Saccharomyces cerevisiae S288C: one gene and its partners. Changing the gene in region 3 together with the main gene of any one other region gives a genetic interaction. Each region holds a gene or a part of one and is shown on either strand. Other genes may lie near its edges. The genes, in order: TSC3, OPI1, MGA2 and RGT1.

Evidence for each region.
Region 1: mutations in MGA2 (region 3) and TSC3 together harm fitness less than expected from each alone (positive genetic interaction), as found in Saccharomyces cerevisiae (2 studies listed by BioGRID).
Region 2: mutations in MGA2 (region 3) and OPI1 together harm fitness more than expected from each alone (negative genetic interaction), as found in Saccharomyces cerevisiae (2 studies listed by BioGRID).
Region 4: of MGA2 (region 3) and RGT1, changing one enhances a phenotype caused by changing the other (phenotypic enhancement), as found in Saccharomyces cerevisiae (2 studies listed by BioGRID, with this or other methods).

What each region holds. Positions count from the first base shown.
Region 1 is NC_001134.8:355,268-358,479, forward strand, and holds TSC3 (Tsc3p), read right to left. Parts: upstream 1,300-3,212; coding exon 1,057-1,299; downstream 1-1,056. Other genes in the region: ubiquitin-specific protease UBP14, read right to left, coding at 1-750; serine/threonine protein kinase AKL1, read right to left, coding at 1,594-3,212. UniProt on the Saccharomyces cerevisiae protein: Stimulates the activity of serine palmitoyltransferase (SPT), and thus plays a role in the biosynthesis of sphingolipids.
Region 2 is NC_001140.6:65,321-69,572, forward strand, and holds OPI1 (transcriptional regulator OPI1), read right to left. Parts: upstream 2,137-4,252; coding exon 922-2,136; downstream 1-921. Other genes in the region: AIM17 (Aim17p), read right to left, coding at 1-539; APM2 (Apm2p), read right to left, coding at 2,411-4,228. UniProt on the Saccharomyces cerevisiae protein: Negative regulator of the transcriptional complex INO2-INO4 in response to phospholipid precursor availability.
Region 3 is NC_001141.2:413,631-420,117, forward strand, and holds MGA2 (Mga2p), read left to right. Parts: upstream 1-2,493; coding exon 2,494-5,835; downstream 5,836-6,487. Other genes in the region: malate synthase DAL7, read right to left, coding at 1-1,049; DAL3 (ureidoglycolate hydrolase), read right to left, coding at 1,400-1,987; LYS1 (saccharopine dehydrogenase (NAD+, L-lysine-forming)), read right to left, coding at 5,985-6,487.
Region 4 is NC_001143.9:363,350-369,802, reverse strand, and holds RGT1 (Rgt1p), read right to left. Parts: upstream 4,199-6,453; coding exon 686-4,198; downstream 1-685. Other genes in the region: AIM26 (Aim26p), read right to left, coding at 82-438; PTM1 (Ptm1p), read right to left, coding at 5,610-6,453. UniProt on the Saccharomyces cerevisiae protein: Glucose-responsive transcription factor that regulates expression of several glucose transporter (HXT) genes in response to glucose.

The DNA of each region.
Region 1 (3,212 bases), on a different chromosome or scaffold from region 3:
ATCATAGGTTGAAGAGCTTAAAGACCCTAATTTGATAGCTAATGGGTGATTATTATTACTCCGATAATGATCCAAAGCATGCGAGTGACCATCAATCCCGATTTGTTCCCTGCCACATCCGATATTACCACAATGTAGGCATAACCAGAGATTTTGAGTCAAATCACAGGAAGAGCATTGGTTTAAATTCACAGTATTTTCGGGCTTAGATGGAATTTGAAAGTTTTCTGTATGTGGACAGGTGCTGATTTCTAACACCCAGGAGTTCTTCTTATCCTCGAAGTCTTGTGACTTCGCCTTTAATATCTTTTCAATCTTCTCCAAGGCCGTAGAAGAAATGTCAGAGTCTGTCGACTTCGAAAGTACGGTCCTGGGAACATTTTCACCATTGAACCTTTGTAAACTCCAAATAGTGTTGTGGGTGTCGTCTTCTGACGTCTCAATTACCTGTAGCTTTATTTTTTTGTTGTTATTATTTTCTTCTACATTTTCTTGCTTAGGTTTCTCCACTTTAGCAATAGTTAAATAATTGGAATGTATGGTATCGCAAGCATATTCTGTGACTCGGATATGGAGTGGAACATGTCTGTTGCACGTAGCTTGGAAACAGTTTAAGCATATATTCAATGAATGTTTAGGTGATGCATTGAGGGCCAATGGTTCATTATAAGGGGATTCAAAGCAATAAATACACTCATCTTTTGAAACGACTGCAGGAACGTTAACGTTTTCTAGTACTGCTTCTGCCATTTCTGAATGTGAGAAAGACTTCGGGCTCTCTTTTTGGATGAATTTACCTGTCATCTCTACTGCCATTGCAAGTCGCTTTTCACTGTGATTTCATCAAGTGATAAATTTGATCTCATTCCAAACGATGTCATTTTTCAAAGGCACATCAACTGTTATAAATTATATCCTATAGCCACAAGCAATTATTAGTTTATGTATTGTGTGTATATTTATGTAACTCTATCCTCCATGATATCCTCCTAAATTTTCTGTCCCCTTGCCTCCAGCTTATACTATTATTAACCGAATAAGGATATAAATAATCATTCAAAGGAAGCAATACTTTAGTATACCGAAGAAACTCAAACTGAAAATTGTGAGAAAAAAAACATGGAGGAAGAATGAATCAAAAGAGGCCATTAAATAAAAGGGTAAATGTATGTAGTAGGTCCAATAAAGCTTTTCCACCACTTCTTCAATAGTATTTAGTATGCCTTCTGATTTCCCATTACGTCTTTTAGCTTCCTTAGTGGTGGGTATGTACACCATCGAGCTTTTATGTTGTGTCATTTCTTCCCCTTATGATATGTTCCACCTTTGTTCTTCCGGTTTCTACACTCTTTATCTCTAGTACTTTTAAAATGGTGTCATTTCTGTCAAATTGCGAGCACTATTACTCTTCACTTAACCGCTTCTCGTTAAGCGCGTCAGGAGTAAACGTCATCTCGCACGATATGCTTAATGCATATGATTTGAGTTACTATTGTTCTATCAATTTAGTTTTTGAGGAAGATATACGGATTGTCTGCGCCTCTATATGTAACAATGTATGTATATGATTTTATATGTGCTCTATTTATCGAATCATTTCTCGCTTCTAAAGACTGAGAAAAAAGATCTCCTTTTCCCGTTACTGCCACCACTACTGGATGCACTACTTGCCATCGCTTCACGACGGACCCTTTCCAAATCAAGCGATTGACGGGCCCTAGCGAAGGATTTTCTCATCTCTGATGGAGTTGAGGTGCTAATAGTAATGCTGCTATTGCTATCCTTATCCTTCGAATGCCGGTATCTTTCCAAATCGTGCCTTTGCTTGGAACCAGTCCTGTGTGTTTCATGCTTGCCATTTGACCGGGTTGACAGTTCGTGACCAGTACTGTGGCGCTTATTCTCAGTTATTGCGGTGGAAGCATGAGGTGAAACTCTATACGAGTGATGTGAATTTGGTGCTGGCGAGTCGTTTTTATTTCTATGCTCTTGAGTTAACGTTGGTGAAGACAGATTTACTTCCTGGAAATTCAGATCCAATGACTGCCGCGGTTGCCTTGTTGATACGCTGCTGAAGTCCTTGCTTTTGAATTGATTAGACTTACTAGCATCACTTGATCTTGCCTGGTCTTTATGACCTCTTTCATTATGGAGTGGTCTTCTTTCAGCTGTTTTTCCTCTCCTTGCATCATCCAAATCAATATCAATGCTTTCGCTGGAGACCATACTATCTCCCAATTCGTCTGTTGAATAATTGTTCCTCTTACTGGAACCTTTGCGTCCAGAAAGCTTAGCTTGTTGAATTGATGCAGACGATGAAGACGATGAAAAGGAGGAGACAGCAGCACCAGTATCATCTCTTGATAAGTCCATCTCATTCAAACTTAAATTTAAAACGCCATTTCGATTATTGTTCGAGCCTTTGATAGTTCCTGAACCGCCGGCATCTTCGATACCGCCAGTTTGAGGCTCATTTGTATCTTGGAAAGATTGCTTTCCTGCATCTTCTTTTAATGGAGATAGTTCAATTAAGAGAGCTTCATTTTTAGAGGATGAGTGCATTGGTTCATTTGCAGAATTTCCTGCAAGAATTGGAGGTTCACCCCCCTGAGCATTTCTCATATCTTCTGTGGTATGATTTGTTCTATCAGAGACGTAAGTACCATTATTATTTGCATTTTGAATTTGCATTTGCTGTTGGACTTGCAGTTGTTGCTGAACTTGCATCTGCTGCTTGGCTTGCATCTGTTGCTTTGCCTGCATCTGTTGTGCCTGCAATTGCTGGGCTTGTATCTGTTGCGCTTGCTGCTGATTCATGGAAATAACAGGTCTCACCATTGGAATTGCTGGGGAATTTTGACTTGGGAGATATCCTGACTGGGAGTTCGTGGCGTAATTTTGAGAAATATTCTGAAAGTTGACTCTTCTATTACCACTATCTCCAGCAATAGTTCCACCCAACTGCATAGGTTTATTGGACCGATCCCTCCCAGTGTAGAAATTTCTTTGGCTATAATTAGCAGGTCCTTTGGGTTGGTCCTGTTGTTGCTGCTGTTGTTCAACTCTAGATTGATACTGAGATTCATCTGGAAAGGTATTCCCTTGTGTACCTGTTTGATTTTGAGCTTGCTGATATCTCTGGCCTTGCTGTTGTTCTTCCAGGAAAAAGTTACTTGCGTCATTGCTCAATTCATTCGTAGAATGGTATGCAA
Region 2 (4,252 bases), on a different chromosome or scaffold from region 3:
AGCGTTTGGAAAAGCTTGGAGTCATCCTTAGGATCAATAAACTCGTTGTAGCTCACAGAAAGTAAGTCCTTGACGTTATCTTTCAGGATGCGCTTATTCCATAACTGGGGTCTATATCTGGATTCTTGTTTTCTTGTTGCTGGCGAAACAAAACTGGAACCTTTATAGTCGATAAAGAATTGTAAAGGGAACTGGTGATGACCGCCATCTTTCCATTTCACCACTAGAGATTTTCCGTCCTCAGAAATTTGAATGTCCTGAGGAGCGGTCAATTTCTCGTTATGATACAGTTCTCCCGTGGTCACCAGCTTGGCACTATGGGAGGCATCTCTAAGAAAAACGTTGTTAAAGCAAACGGAAACCGGCTTGCTGGACTCCTCCATGGAGAACGTAATTGTCGTAGAATCTCTATTGAAGTATGTTTTGATGATATGTCCCCGATTCGCAGCCGCAGCTGTCGCCGCAGATGTGTATGTCCTTGGTGTAGTGGTCAGTCTTGCAAGGATTCGAGATCCTCTGCATAAATTTGATCTTAGCATCTTGTGTTGGTAATTGGTTTCTAATAATTATTTTTTCTTTTTAACTTGGAATATGTTCCTGGCCAGTTGTGAAGAGTTACCCCTGATATTTGGATCTAGAAGGGCTTCTCCTTATATAGATAGCACTTTTCCTCGAGGATCAACCCCGGAAATGTATTCCCGACCCCCTTACGGCTGCGCAAAGGTCCTTACTGAGCCATTCAAAGGTAAAGAGGGTCCGATAATAATGGTAGTTCAAAAGGGGAGAAGCGGGGCTGGTACAATATCACGATTATGATTATGATTATGATTATGATTATGATTATGGATATTATATAAACTATATTATTCCGTATAATATTATTACTGGTGGTAATGCATGAAAGACCTCAATCTGTCTCGGTTAGTCCTTGCTATCCACGTTGTCCTGAGAGGGCTTTACGTAATTGCCATCCTTCTGCTGTTGCTGCCTGTACTGTTGCTGCTGTTGCAAGAAACGCTCCCTGATCATTTCTTTTACCTCCTGTTTCTGCTTCACCCATTCTTCAGCCTTGCCCAACGTGGAGTCGACTACGCCCATGACATTTCTCACCATTTCCAGGGATTCTTTGGCGAGAATGAGTACTTTCCCATTCGCAGTTACGGAGGAGGACGGCGAGGCTGAGTCGTCGCCATCCTTGTTCCTTTTTTGCTGTTGCTGTTGCAGGAGTTGCTGCTGCAAAAGTTGCTGCTGCTGCTGCTGTTGCTGTTGCTGTTGCTGTTGCTCCACTTTTTGTTCTTCACAGTTGGCATAATGAAACGAAGCATGATGCGGCAGTGATGTACTGTGGACGCTGTCGAACCAATTTGTGGGTAAGTTTAGAAGACTTTCCCGAACCTGAGATCTTGCGGGCTCCGGCAGCGAATTTGCTGTGAACTTCGATATCAGCGAGTAGACTTTCTTGACTGTGCCGACCACCTCCATTTTCACCACAATAGACTGCTCGCTGGCGTTGACCTGCTCTGAGGCATCAAAAAACTCCTCATCGTCGTCGTCTTCGTCTGACGATGTCTCGTCCTCGCCAGCTCCAGTGGTCGTCCTAGCATTTCCATCTTGCTTGTGCAAAGGATGCACCTGCTCCTTTTCAACAAGGTCCTGTAAACACGAGATTTTATCGGAAAGCTGCTTATTGGCCAGCTTTAAAAGATGCAAGCACGTTACAAGCCTCTTCTTAGACTCGATGGACATGTTCAGCTTGTACTCTTTCAAGTTGTCCTTCCCCTTGGCAATCGCCCGCGACAGCTTCTGTCTCTTGTTGGTGAAGAACTCATCGTCGTTGTAGTCGTAATCATCATGCTCGTCATCGTCATCGTCTAGCAGCCTCCCTATTGATTTCAGTGGCCTCTTGTTGGTGTTTATTTCATCGTAGAATGTCACTACGTTACTGATAATTTTGTTACTTACGCGATCCAAAATGTTTAGCGGCGTCGTAGACGACTCACTTGCCGGCATTTTGTCAGCTTGTGAGACGTCCTCTGAAGGCTGCGACTTCTGTCTGCATGATTGTTTCAACACCCCAAGTACTTCAGCCGCTTCTACCTCTTCCTCTGATAATCCTAAACGTTGATTTTCAGACATCAATGACTAGTATCTTCGTTAAAAACACTGTCCTGATACACACGCTTTAATCAGCACTGTAAACAAAATGCCACGTTCTGGCCTGATATGCTTTCTTGGCTAAGTGCAGATCGCTGTCTTGCTCCAATCCTCTTATTAATCCCTCTCATTGAGGTGGAAAAAAAAAAAATAAGAACGCCCGATTTTACCCGGTTGCATATGAAGATTATAAGGTGCCATCTATATACTAAAACGAACGTACCATTTGTCTATCTATGAGATGTCTGCGTAAGCGTCAAACAATATATGCGTACTCTTCGTCGCTGACGGTCTTGTATCTGACCCAGGGGAAAGACTGGTACTGCAATTGTGGCTCTTCGACCTTCAAGTACTCAACTTTCAGGCCACTGCATGTACAGTACGGAATCTCGAAATCAATGTTGACCAACTTATCTCGAGGAGTAACGTGGGAAGTTTGTTGGTCGTGCACTTGTCTATATAGTTCTTCCAGCCTGGGTCCCGTGCGCAAGGGCGGCGGATTCATTGAGGTTTTCATTTCTTCTTGCAGGCGGTCATATTCTTCCTGGTTGAAGAGGGGGAACTCTGCCACCATGGATGCACACGTATTTGGATCATCTTCGTCGCTGTTGTACTGTGAGCTCTTGTTTGTGCTATGTTCTCGGTGCCCCTTCATGGTTTGTATCTCCCAGAGGAGAAAATCGTCACTCAAGTTAAACACGACCTTGCCGATGTTTGCCTTGAATCTAATTTGCTTGCTGAGGTCTATTTTATATTCCTGGAAGACTTTTGTCAGGGGAATTCTCACGTTTAGCTTCGACGTTGAGTTGGTGGGTTTAAAATTTGTTTGAATTTTGGTTACAATTTGGATTTTAAACTTCTTCAGTTTAGGTTTGATTTCAAAATCTTTCAACCTCACCATCGGCGCATCCTTTACATGTCTCTTCAACTCGTATTGGCAAAGAACAAATTCGCCATCCGGCGGTATAAATTCGATTTCTCTTGCATCTGTGGCGGCCTGCAAACCAGCATCATCGTCACTATTCTTTTCTTCATCTTTTTCAATAGTGTTTATGGAATCTAGTGAAACACACTGATGAAAGCTGGAATTCGACATGAACTGGGGGTCCCTGTTCAGTATCTTGTTTATGGATATTTTCAGTTTGGGCATCCCTGATAAATAGCATCTGCACACAATCTCTCCATGTATCAGATTTTTCCTAATCACTCCTTTTTCAAAATCCATCAAGTACTGAACACGTTCAATAACATCAAGAAAGAACTCGTTTTTGGCGTAATGTATCCCCTTTGTTCTCCATGATATGGGCATTATAATCGTCTTCGCAATATCGCCATTGATGTATAAATCATTACCGTCATTGGGGAGCTCGTCATTAGCGGCTTCTTTACCGGTATCATTCTTGTTCCTTAGTGTCTCCTTGACAGTTTCCACCACGTTTATGCCCCTATTTTCTTTATTGTTTACCATTATACTTTTTAATTTACTTTTGCCCACGCTTTTCCCTTTAGTGCCCTTTTTCTTCTTCCTTTTCTTCTTCTTATCCTTCCTCTTATTAGTATTGCTGTACTCGCTATCGCTATCGCTACCGCTACTACTACTGCTCTCTTCACCAGGGCTCCACTCCTCATTGTCTACTGTAACTCTTGGTACGTTGACCTTCACACGAATGTAGTCCTTGATGATACTTGGATCCGTCACTTGTACGATACCAAAGTCTATACATTCATCAATCAACTCCAGGACAAGTAAGATGTTGTCCAGTATGACATTCTTAGTTAAGACCTCGATTTCAAAATATTTTTGTAAAAGATGATAAAATTGTTCCAAAAAGGCTAGTATAGTCATTAAGTCTATATTTGGTTTGTCTGTGGTATGTATCACTGAAACGAAATGCAGAAAGTCTCTCTTCAAATGTATAAAGAACCAATCGTTTTGGGAGAGAATTGGAGGCGACCCGTCATGATAACATTGTTTGAAACTTGAAAGAACCGACGATAGATTCGGTAGTGCTCTAATATTCTTCGATACCAATGGCTCCAGATTTTCATCCAGGATAAAAAGGCTTGACGACATGCCTTTCCTTCCTGATTTCCTCTT
Region 3 (6,487 bases):
TCATCTTTTATGGGGATTTGGGCAGCCATACCACCCATCGCATGGACCCCTCTACGGTGACATGTATTGATCAATCTTTTCACATAAGCATCCATAAAAGGTGAAGTCATAGTCACTAGATCCCTATTTGGCAAAACGTGTTCAGGCAAGTTTCTCAGTTTTTTAATGGTCGAAAATATGTAGTCCCAACGACCACAGTTCAAACCGCTTGAATGTTCTCTTATTTGATAGATAATCTCCTCCATTTGGAAGGCCGCTGGCAAAGTTTCAATCAGAACAGTGGCCCTAATGGTACCGCGGGGCATTCCAATAAAATCTTGTGCAACACAGAATATGTCATTCCATAGTTTTACCTCCATATGGTGCTCCATCTTTGGTAAGTAAAAATAAGGTCCTTTACCAATTTTAACTAACTCTTTAGCGTTATGGTAAAAATATAAACCAAAATCGAAGATGGAAGCACTAATCGGTTCATCATCTATGTAAAGGTGCTTCTCCACCATGTGCCAGCCACGAGGTCTGACAATTAAAGTGGGCAGTCTTGAAATGTCATCCTTCAACCTGTACTCCTTTCTTGGTGTCTTGAAATCGATTTGATTTCTAATGGCATCATAAAGATTAACTTGTCCGTAAATCATGTTCTCCCAAGTTGGAGATGAAGAGTCCTCGAAATCAGTCATATATGTCGTTACTTCAGCATTCAAAGCGTTGACTAACATATTTCTCAATGGTGGCCCAGTAATCTCGCTGGATCTGTTGATCAAACCAGGGGCTGGGATAGCACCTTGCCATGTAGGATCGTTCCTGATTTGTTCGGTTTCCGGCAAGAAATCAAATCGGTATTCACCAGAGTCTAACTTTGATTGTAAATTGCTTCTGTTGGCTAAAAGCTGTTTCCGTGTTGAATTGAAAGTTCTATGCAGCAAAACAATGAACTCTAAGGCATCTTTTGTTAAAATATCAGCTACAGTAGTTTTGGAAGGTTCAAATTGAGGAGTCGTGTCGATGTCTGCGTATAGAGCAGTGTTGTCCAAGCTTATCTTCACCATTGTTCAGTGCTCTTTACCGTGCCTATGACACATACTCTAAGTGATATCAACTGCACAGAAAGTGAAGAATTAAGACTACATGCGTAAATGTCCCCATTTTATACTTATTGCTTCACCAATTGACGAAACTATCCAATCTTTGTGATACTTTCACGATGTACCTTATCCAAGATAAGCCAAAACTTATGAAATTCAATTTATGTGATAAGAAAAGCAAACGCAATTTTCCAAAATCCGCGGTATTCTATCGCACCGCAACTTTCAGCGGAGATTTTATGTCGATAATCGTAAACCTATGAAATTACTAATACATGAACATTTACATATTTACTTCGCCCACAGTCGCAGAATTAGATGATAATACAAACGTCGCCATCGCTGTAGTGTTCTTCCACACAGTCCTTCTCGGGCCTGTCAGGGTCCAGACTTTCGTAGATTAAGACTGAAAAATCCAAATGTTCTTCCTTGCCAAGTACTATCATGGGCGCATGCCAGGTACCTAAGCCATAGGTAACGGCCTGATTACCCAAACATGTAAAAGCCCTCAACGTAGACAAGTCTGGCTTATTTCCAATTTCTTTAGCGACTACTACCAAGTATGCTACTTCCGCTGACGTTCTCCCCATAGGCACAAACGTCTGCGTACTACACGGATGCTTTTCGAGGACTTTGATAGAATGAGAAATCGCCTGATTGGAGCCTTGAGTGAATACTCTATTCAGGTGCGGCTGTGGAAAGCAACGGAATAGGTTCCAATTGGGAACTTTACTGGTAGATTTATTCTCTACCTGGCTTACTTGAAGCAATTTGATCGCTGTTCCCTGGTTTGCACCTTTTTCAAGGTTTTGCATCCTTGAAATCTCTTCATCTGGCGAAATTATCGTCCCATACTCCTCGAAGGACTCTTTCGTCAATGTCTCCGCCACCACGGTCACCATATCTTTGCTTCAAAGATTTTTTGCCCTACAAGATAAGCATCAAGAGCGATTGGATGACAGTTACTGACTTATATATGCGAATGCACATGAATAGACCGCATATGCTTCTTATCAGTCTTACCTCGCTTATCTTTCCCCATTTATTTGCCAATCCATCTTATCTTATCTGGCACTTTGTCTCAGGGTTAGTGTTACAAAAAGGCTAGGACTTATTTCCAAAATTCTACTTTTGAAAATAACCCTAACAATAAAAGCAAGGGCATTCTGATGTTACCCTAGAAATGTCGTATTTCTTTTTATATCGTGGATCATGACAAAAAACTCAACATTTTCAAATGGGTGAGCTCTAAACCAGAAAATACAGCCGCCGAAAGCCTTTTAAAAGGACAGCGGCGCTTGATCAACAGTCGTTCTTGGGGTCGTTAAGACTAGATCCTGCTTCCCCCCCTTATTGTGCATTTAAAGGCACTTATTGAAGGTCATTTTGGCGAACAGAACATTTCGTTATGCAGCAGAACAGTGAGTTCTTAACGGAAACACCTGGAAGCGACCCTCATATATCTCAATTGCACGCGAATAGCGTAATGGAATCACAGCTCTTGGACGATTTCCTCCTGAACGGGTCTCCCATGTACCAGGATGATAGCATGGCGCATATTAATATTGATGAGGGTGCTAATTTCCAAAATTTTATCAAGACAGATGAGGGTGATTCGCCCAACCTGTTGTCTTTCGAAGGTATCGGTAACAATACTCATGTCAACCAAAACGTGTCCACTCCACTGGAGGAGGAAATGGAAAGTAACAGAGCCTTGAAGGAGGAAGAAGAGGACGAGCATGAAAATAAGGTTTTTAATGAAAAAAATATAGGCAACCCTGCTCATGACGAGATTGTATTTGGAAGAAAGGAGACGATTCAATCTGTTTACATAAATCCTTTAGATTACCTTAAAGTGAACGCAGCGCAGCTACCTTTGGATGTAGAGGTCTCAGGTTTGCCACAAGTATCTAGAGTGGAAAATCAACTGAAACTGAAAGTGAAAATTACGTCTGAAACACCACTAAACCAAAGCATGCTTTACTTGCCTAGCGATTCCATTTCAAGAGAAAAGTTTTATTTAAAAAAAAATATCGAGGATTTTTCAGAAGACTTCAAGAAAAATCTTCTGTACATCAATGCGTTTGTTCTATGTGCGGTCAGCAACAGAACGACAAATGTTTGTACCAAGTGTGTTAAGCGAGAACAAAGAAGAGCCGCTAGAAGGAAATCAGGTATTGCAGACAATTTACTCTGGTGTAATAATATTAATAGAAGGTTAGTCGTGTTCAATAACAAACAGGTTTTCCCCATAATGAAAACTTTCGATAATGTTAAGGAGTTTGAATTAACTACCAGGCTAGTTTGTTATTGCAGGCACCATAAGGCAAATAATGGCTTTGTCATATTATTCACTATAACAGATTGGCAAAATAGACTGTTGGGTAAGTTTACGACAACACCTATTATGATCACGGATAGAAAACCAGCAAATATGGATACCACCAAGTTTAATAACACTACTACCTCGTCCAGAAGGCAGCTAACGGAAGAAGAATCTACCACAGAATATTATTCAACGGATAACAACCAATTGAGCAAAGACGAAAATATGCCATTTCAATATACTTATCAACACAACCCATATGATAATGACAGTCAAATGAATAATATTCCACTGAAAGACAAAAACGTACCATTCCCATATTCCATCTCTCAACAGACAGATTTGCTTCAGAACAATAACTTATCACTGAACCTTTCTCTGCCCAATCAGCATATTCCATCACCAACATCTATGAGCGAAGAAGGCTCAGAATCATTTAACTATCATCATCGCGATAATGACAATCCCGTCCGTACTATCTCTTTGACAAATATTGAACAACAGAGTCAATTGAACCAACGGAAAAGAGCACGCAATAATTTGGAAAATGACATTGGTAAACCCCTATTCAAGCATTCCTTTTCAAATTCAATCAGTGCAACAAATACGATGAATCCAGCTTTACATTCAATGCAAGATTTCTCAATGAAAAACAACAACAATAATTTGCCATCAATTAATCGCGTTATACCTTCACAAGGCCCAATCAATGGTGGTATCGAAGTTACATTACTGGGTTGTAACTTCAAAGATGGTCTTTCTGTAAAGTTCGGCTCTAATCTTGCCCTTTCTACGCAATGCTGGAGTGAGACCACGATCGTCACTTATCTCCCTCCCGCTGCCTACGCGGGTCAAGTTTTCGTCTCTATTACTGATACGAATAATGAAAATAATAACGATGACCTTCCCCAAGAAATTGAGATCAATGACAATAAAAAGGCCATATTTACCTATGTTGATGATACTGATAGGCAACTGATTGAATTGGCTTTGCAAATTGTGGGATTAAAAATGAATGGTAAGTTAGAAGATGCAAGAAATATCGCGAAGAGGATTGTTGGCAATGATTCTCCTGATAGCGGTACAAATGGCAACAGCTGTTCAAAAAGCACAGGTCCCTCTCCAAACCAACACAGTATGAATCTGAACACAAGTGTTCTTTACTCCGATGAAGTCTTGATACAAAAAGTTATAAAATCATTGAACATAAATTCCAATATTTCCATATGTGATTCATTAGGGAGAACTTTATTACATCTTGCCTGTTTGAAAAATTACTCAAGCCTTGTGTATACATTGATTAAAAAGGGTGCTCGTGTTAACGATATTGATTCCTTTGGGCTAACTCCATTACATTTTGCTTGCATAAGTGGTGACCCTAAAATTATTAAGATGCTTTTAAATTGTAAAGTAAATTATTCACTGAGGTCACACAACGGATTAACTGCAAGAGAAGTATTCATAGCAAACCACATTCATTCAAAGGAAATAGACAAAAAACAAGATAACAGAGACAACCATAAGTTTGTTCATAATGACACTTATATCAGCGAAGTATTGTCATTGTTTGAAGAATTCCAAAACGGTACGAAGTTTACCGATAGTGTAGAAACAGACAGTAATTATTCTATTAGCAGGAAATATTCACAATCCAGTTTCAATTCAAGCCTGCTAGACAATGAATCTTTGAATGAGAACTTATTCGAAAGCCAAAGCATGATAAATCCCACTTCTATGGAGATTCAGCATCCAACCTTGCAACTATTTGAGAATTCAAGTTACTCTGAGTACGACCAAAGTGATTTCGAAGAAGACGGGGATGAAGATCTGTTCGTCACTGACGAAGTAGAAAAACCAGGTGTTGCATGCAGGGAGGAACAAAGCGAACTCCTTGATATTGGATCTAGCGCCAACGAACCCGAAGAGGATAATGGTAGTACATCTCTCTGGAATAGAGTTTTACATCGAATTAATGATGACTTACCAAAATATGAGGATCTGTTCCCGTTGTCTTGGGGTAAAGATGATAAATTGAAAACCACAAATCAAGACAGTATTGTGGAGCAGTCAGCATCTAATATTGAAAACTCTGAAAATTCGGAGGAAGAGGATTATGAGGAAGAGGAAGAATTTTTGAAAAAACAGTTTAACAGATTCTTCCAAAACAAACAAAACTTCCGAAATGATAAAATGTTAATATTTTTCTGGATACCCTTAACACTACTACTTTTGACATGGTTCATCATGTACAAATTTGGCAACCAAGATAGTTCCATCAATCATATAAGCGAATTAATCTCAGAGTACTTGAGAATTGCATTAGCAAAGTTCTTGCTGGGAAATGAAAGGATGAAAACTGCATTCAGGTCAAAATTATCAAACCTGCAAACAACAAGAATGTTGAACGATTTAATTGTCAGTTAGTCTGCTTTTTTACGTATATATATATATATATGTGTGTATAATGAAAAGACAGTACACTTAAAAGAAGAGAAAGTCATTTAAAAAAAGTCAAAAAAAAATTAAACTTGTAAATGTCAGCGTAACGATAATGTATATACTTTAAATGTAAACTACAATCTTGAAGATCTTTTAACACGAGCGCAATGTCTATCGAACAATTTCTTGGCTCTAACCCAGACAGGAGCAGTTTTTCTTTGAGGTAGGAGCTCTAAAGATGGTAAGAGATCATGAGAGAAAAATTCTGAAGCTTCTCTTGGCAGCAAAGAAGGCAAGTGATCAATAGAGATGACAGATAATTTAGGCCCGGCAGTGGTAGGTACCAGAACGGTAGGTTTGTTAAACACAGTAGCCACAGTGTATATTGGGATGGGGTTGTGAGGGTTGGTAGTGTCTGCTGATACGTCCACCACGGTCCTTAGTCTTCTGTTAGGATTATTCAGTTTCTCCATGTTAGTGAAAGGAGCAATTGGCTTCGATAGATATATACAATTGATAAAAATATCAGCTTGTGGAATTTCGTCAAAGGGACCACCACGGGAAGTTTCTTTGATATCCCATTTTAATATGTTAGCATCTGGAATACCAACTTTGTGCAACAGATCGATGGCACCGG
Region 4 (6,453 bases), on a different chromosome or scaffold from region 3:
CAGAAATTGAATCTCCAACTCCTAAAACCGTAACTTCAATCTCATGGTACCTGCTGGAAGAACTTTGTTGTTTGTTTAGATTTATATACTCAATCCAAAACAGGGAAAGGAAATGCAAAAACGGGCCGAGCCCAAACAAAAGAGGAAGCGCGTCAGGCTGTTCGAGAAGGGGCGGGGGAAGGGGATCAGGTTACAAGACGCTGTACAGGGATCTGTGTGAGAACAAACCGACACCAGAACTTTGGACTTTGCAAGCGCCGGAATTGAATCTGTAGCAATGGCAATGGCAATAGTGATGGCACCAGGTGTAACAGCAAGCCGGCGGTAGCAACGTGCGTAATAAGGACTTCTGCCCCTGAAAAAGTATGCCAAAAGTAGGAGAAAGAAAGACCCCTTTAGCTGTGAAAGAAGAAGGTGCTCCCCGCCCATTGTCTGCATGCGCCCCTGAGCTTGGCGACTCTCGAATACCGTGGAAGATGGTGGAGCACCAGAGTAAAAGGCCGTGCGCACTCTGACAAGGCAGTATTGTTACAGGTTAAAACAGCTAGTGTGTATATGTGTAAGTAAGTATTATTTATGTGTTTTACTTAAATTGGTCATTCATTGCATGGTAGTTCTTTACGCGAATTTCTGCCTGAGGAGAAGGGAGAACCTGACCTACAGGAGAAGGGAGCATAGTTACCTGTCAATACCAGCCTAACTCGGAATCGTCCAACAGCTTCCAGCCGATACTAACGAAATTTTCCAGGGCAACGTTCTCAAGCCTGGGTTCCTCTGCGGCTACTGGCGCCGTTGTCGGTTGTGTACCAGAAGTACGGCGTTCATCAAGCAATGTCTTCATGACTGATGACTCGCGGAGGCCTTGGCCCGACTTTGGCCACATGACGTCGTTTCTGGTCGTGGACGAAAGTCCTCCTGTCAGGGACATTATGGGCTTATTAAGCTCGTGCTCGAAGATCTTGAATGGCTTGATCATTGTCAGCACGCTGGTGATTTGAACTACTTCATTCATCGAGTTTGACAGCTTCATGACCAGGTCCTGCGACTTCTTGGTGTCCTGAGTATTCTGCGTTGTAGTTGCCGTCATCATAATGCTAATGAGTGATGTAGGCATCTGCTTGACCAGTTCAGTGATGTTGTAGACCTCGTGCAGGATAGCAATAGCAAAGGGGGAAATTATCCCCCGGCAAAGGTCTGAAAGGATAGTGCCAGTGTCTTGTTTCAGGCCTAGTAATTTCTTGTAAAAATCTGGATTCCCCTCCGATGGAGGTGCAGCGCTAAGGTTCCCAGCGACTGGAGACGAGCCCATAGCAGATGGGCCCTCTTGCACTGTCGGATTATTAGCGGGTGGGTTCGGTGGTCTATAATTAAAATCAATACTGTTCGTAGGATTCAGTCTTAATATCAACGTCAATACTTGCAAAATTATTGATATCAATGAGCACAGAGAGTCTGCTATTTTCGAACTCAAATCCAATGTCAAATCTGAATAGACTCCTGCTTCTGAATCGTATAATGATAATAAGCAATTGATGAAATTGTGTTTGCCAATTAATAGCTTGCAAAATAACTGTGCTACGGATAGAGGTTGAGTTTCCACATATTCCGATAAGAGTGAAGACGAGTTCGTAATATCGAACCCAGGCTTCCTATTGCCGTTCATTGATATTCTATTCCTGGTAAGCTCACTCATCAATTCACCCAATTTCAAGCTTTGCAAGACGCTTTTCAGTCTCAATTGGCTTTGTTCCAGGCACCATTTTGAGCCCAAATCATTAGAAAAAAATCTTTCTGTAGAACCTTGGATGGAAATGTTTAATAGCTTGGGACCACCGAATGCACAGCTTTGTAAAGAATCAAACACTGAAAGCAAAACGTATAATCTTTTAAACAACACTGAATAGTGACTAATGTTTTCGTCCATGGAATTTGGTGAATTGGATGGATTCATATGCCCAGCACTTTCAGATCCAATTTCAAATTCGGACGTTTTTGTATTCCCATTACCAGTGCTGACCTCTTCATCAACTGGAGGCTTCACATCATTTATATCCGGCTCCGGAAATAATAGAAGTTTGTATAATTTAAATTCGTTAAAAATTGTCACCGACATTCCAAGTACAAATGAGTTATCGTATCCAACAAATGCCAAAATGTAATTTAAAAGAATAAAAGTAGATAAATAAATGACTTTGATCTTCGGCGAAATTTGGTCGTTGTTTTCTCTGAATTTGGGATGAATATCCACGATTTTTTGGAAACATTCATTGAGGGCGGCAATAAAAACGCTTTGCACTTCCAAAGTATCCTGTACTTCATTATGTGAATCACGTCTTGTTTTTTCAGCATCATCCCTTGCCGTGGCTGTAGTGAACCCAGCTTTGTTGTTGTCATTACTTGGCGACAAAGCCACGCCAACAATATTATCGAAAAACTTGCCACCTGGCTTTTGTTTCAGAGCAACACGAACTAACAATTCCAATGAATTTCTAAACCACAAAATAACATATGAATTGACTTCGTGTATATTGGAAATTGGCTGTGTGTTAACTAACAATAAGTCACTGGTCAAGGTCGTTTTGTTTAAAGGTATGATCGGAAATCCTACATGTATGAACTCATAGTAGGTGTCTATTAGATCTACATCGGATATCTGTCCATACGCGATAGTTGATGAAGTGGTCATTGGGTGAGCAGAATCTTTCGATGTTATAGATATAGATGAATCTCTCTTTGGTTTTGTCTTCTTAGATACGTAACTTTTTCTGCGTTTTTTTGTACTTCTCTGTGGCGTTGATCCAGGGCTGGATGCTTCCAAAGCCGCTGGTGTAGTTACAGATTCTTGGGAATGTTGAGATGTATCCTTAGAAGAACCGCTATTATTGCTGCCATTATTGTTGTTAATTTCACCATTATTATTCTCATTACCATTCAGCCTGTCCGTGGATAATGTTACTGATACGGGGGCTGATTGTCGCCTTTTATTTCCATCCAACTCAGATGAAAATTGCGGTACCTGCTGTCCTTGAGGTCTTTGTGTTTGCTGTGCAACATTTACGGGGTTTGTAGATGTGCTAGTAAACATGGCAGGTGCACTGGGAGACATAGCCTCGCTGGCGACTGATCCTTGTCTAGAATGAAAACCATTAGCAGCGAACTGGCCAAAAGATGATATCGATGGGTTGTACGGTTGCTGCTGGGAAAATTGAGAATACGAGTATAGGTTCTGTCCTTGTTGCAACTTTTGTTGGTGTGCTTGTGGCTGCGATTGTTGCTGAGGTGGGGGAAGCTGAGGCTGGCCACCTAGTAAAAGAGAATTTGAAGTATTTCGTAGCAAAGAAGGTATGGAACTTGATCTTCTTGTCTGTTCCCCATTATGATCATCAGTAGGAGCTAGTAAACCAGAAGTTCTTATAAAGGACCAATAACCACCACTACCAGAGGCACTGCCTGAGCCGGTGACACTTCCGTTTGCATTTCCAGAATCATTAGTATGTTTATTCGTTATGGGAGACTGTTGAACGGTGTTATAAGACAACTGCTCGTTGGGATTTAATGTTCTTACCGATATATCACTTTGCAAAGAATCGATAGATCCTTTTCTTTGGTGTTGAAACTCATGGTAGGGCACTTTCCAAAACTGCTGTTGGCCAATATTACCCGCGGGCATAGTTGATTGTATCGCTGGATTTTGGAAACTAGGAGGAATGCCACCAGCCTGGGGAATGTACTGTGTCAGTGGGGGCAATAAAACTGAATTAGATCTCGAAGGGGTACTTGGAACTGTGTTACTGTTTATACCGTTGTCGCCGCTATTGCCCGTATTATTATTCAGGGTATTGTTACTATTATCAAACGTATTATACGACCTTGAGTTATTGTGGTCTTGTATTTCGTTAGTCCTTGGATGGCTGGTGCTCCTCGTATAGCCTTTCGAGGGTCCCCTTTTCAAAGGAACCCTATCAAAACTACAACGGTCTCCATTCCTTTGGCAGTTTGAGCAGACCCCCTTTTCATCTTTGTAGTCACATTTAATCTTCTTTTTACGACACTGATCGCAGGCCCGGGAGGCCTTTGTTCTTTTCTTTATTGCGTGACTTGCTGCTGCTGCGGAGTCCATATCGTCGGGACTATTGGATGTACCACCGTTCTTGGTGGAGTCACTGGAGTTAGTCGAAACAGTGTTCAGCTCGTTCATAATTTGAAATATATTGGAGTTTGAGAGAAGAGTACAGCTTCTTGACAAATGTGAGAATCGAAGAAGCGTGTTATTATTGCACCAATGAAAATTGCGGGAACGGTTCTGCACAATATAGTACAAGGGAGAGGCGATTTCCAACGAAGTCTATGGTGAAAGAGCAGAATATGTTGGATGGACAATACTCCAGTCTCAAAACTCCAAGCACGGTTCCTAACTGATGTGTTCTTATTTTGACTTTTTTTATTTTTTGAATTTTTACTAGTTGCTACTATTTTTTTTTCCTGTTTTTCCTTAAAAGGTCCCTTCCCATAATCGTCTTGCTTAGTTAGCTACATGAAAAAAAAGGAAAAAACTAAAGGAAAATGCACAAAGCAGCGACATATTTTATGAATCCAATACCTGCCATTTCAAGAAGCTCGGATTATTGGTGAGGTGACGTAGCTTTTGTTTGATGTACTGTTGATTATTCGTCTCTGGTGCTCATAAGCCACGTCACAGAAAACGATAAACGATGTTAGCGCACATGCTACATGACTTGCCAATCGTGGTAAAGCTTCTGATGAAAGAACCAACTTGCGGAAGCGTGCCCATAAAATGGTCGTGCGGCTTAACGAGCAATCACACCGAATAAAGTGATCCCGTAAAATGATATTCTACTCGGATGATCCGTTCCCTAGGAAGCGTAAGACAAGTAACTACAAATGTTGTCGCATGTATATTCTATTACTCAGAGCGTTTGACAAAAAAATCTTCTCCCTTTCATTAAAAACGAATCGAAGAGCTGGGTTTATAGCATTGTCACTAAGGACGTGGTCTCATCATAAACAAATAGAATATACATGTTATGTTACATAGGAAAGACCGAAAAAGCCAGAGAAAGCTAATAAGGTTAGCACTGATGCAGCGCGCAACCTTACGTTATCTGGCTTCGTTGTTCATCCTTGAACAAAGGGAATTCCTCACTTCTGGTCTTCCTGCGTCTCTTCTCATAAACAAGTACACATGAAAAGTCTATGGACCAATTTTCTCTTCCATTTTATAGTCGATGAACAGAAACTTTTCGCTTGTTTCGGTTTGATATAAATCATCTTATCACCGAAAAAAAAAAAACTCCAGCGAGCGGCTAAATAAATACAAAACGAAAAAGTTAGGTCTAGAGTATAGCATAGCTTTGGTGACTACAGTTATAAACAGGTAAAAGCACGCACAAATAAATGAAAAGAAACGTGCAACGCATTTATTTATTTATTTATTTATATTCATATTTATATTCATATTCATATTCACATCGCATTGAACAGAAGTGCATATGGTTCATAATTTCTTTCTTTTCGCTTGTAAACATTTCGTGACTGCCCTCGAAGAAACTATTTGTCTCATCACCTAATCAAATCTGCTGGAGGTAGCGTTATTTTGTTGGAGAGGGAGACACTGGCCCGTGGCCTTGGCTATGGTTATTTACATTATCGTGTCCTTCTTCATCATCAGTAAAATTCAAATTGAGGTCATCCTCGTCTATGCCACGCTCACCAGTGATGATACTTGCGTCATCTTGATCGTCAAACGATTGCAAATCGCCCAAGTCAAAGTCCGCGACATTTTCTGGGTCTGTGGGTAGTTGTTGGGATGCGGCTAGCATGTATGAAGTATCTGTTGGTCTCCATAAGAACGCGATGGTAACGAAAACAATGAAATACACTAACGTAGGCCAGAAATCAGTAACGAAGAACCTTGACCTCCAGTTCTTCTCAATCATATCAATAGTGTTCATGCCAACGTAAATAAATGACGAAACTATACTACCAGCTAGTACACTCAAAAAGGACGCATAAATGATGTATAGTAGCTTCTTGTACATGTTCAATTTTACGATCTGCCTTTGCTCTTTCAAATAGATAACTGTTTTTGTCATGGATCTAATAATCATGTAGTAAAATATGATTAATGCAAGCGCCATAGGAATCAAGGTGATCAAGATTAGTGGAGATGGTGCCTCCATGTCGGTCAAATAACTTTGGATCAAAAATCCAATGCAAATTGCATAAGTTAACGCACCATACATTTGGCAACGCCTCATCAACGTTTTATTCAACTTAGGGTACACGATACCGTAGCCCAAAGCGATAATCAATAATAGGAAAAATGAAAATGTAACTTTACCAGCCGTCAATATCGACAAGAACACCATATAAACTTTTATTCCCGCAGTATCACCTTTTTCATTTTTCAAATCATAGTAAGCCCATACAAAT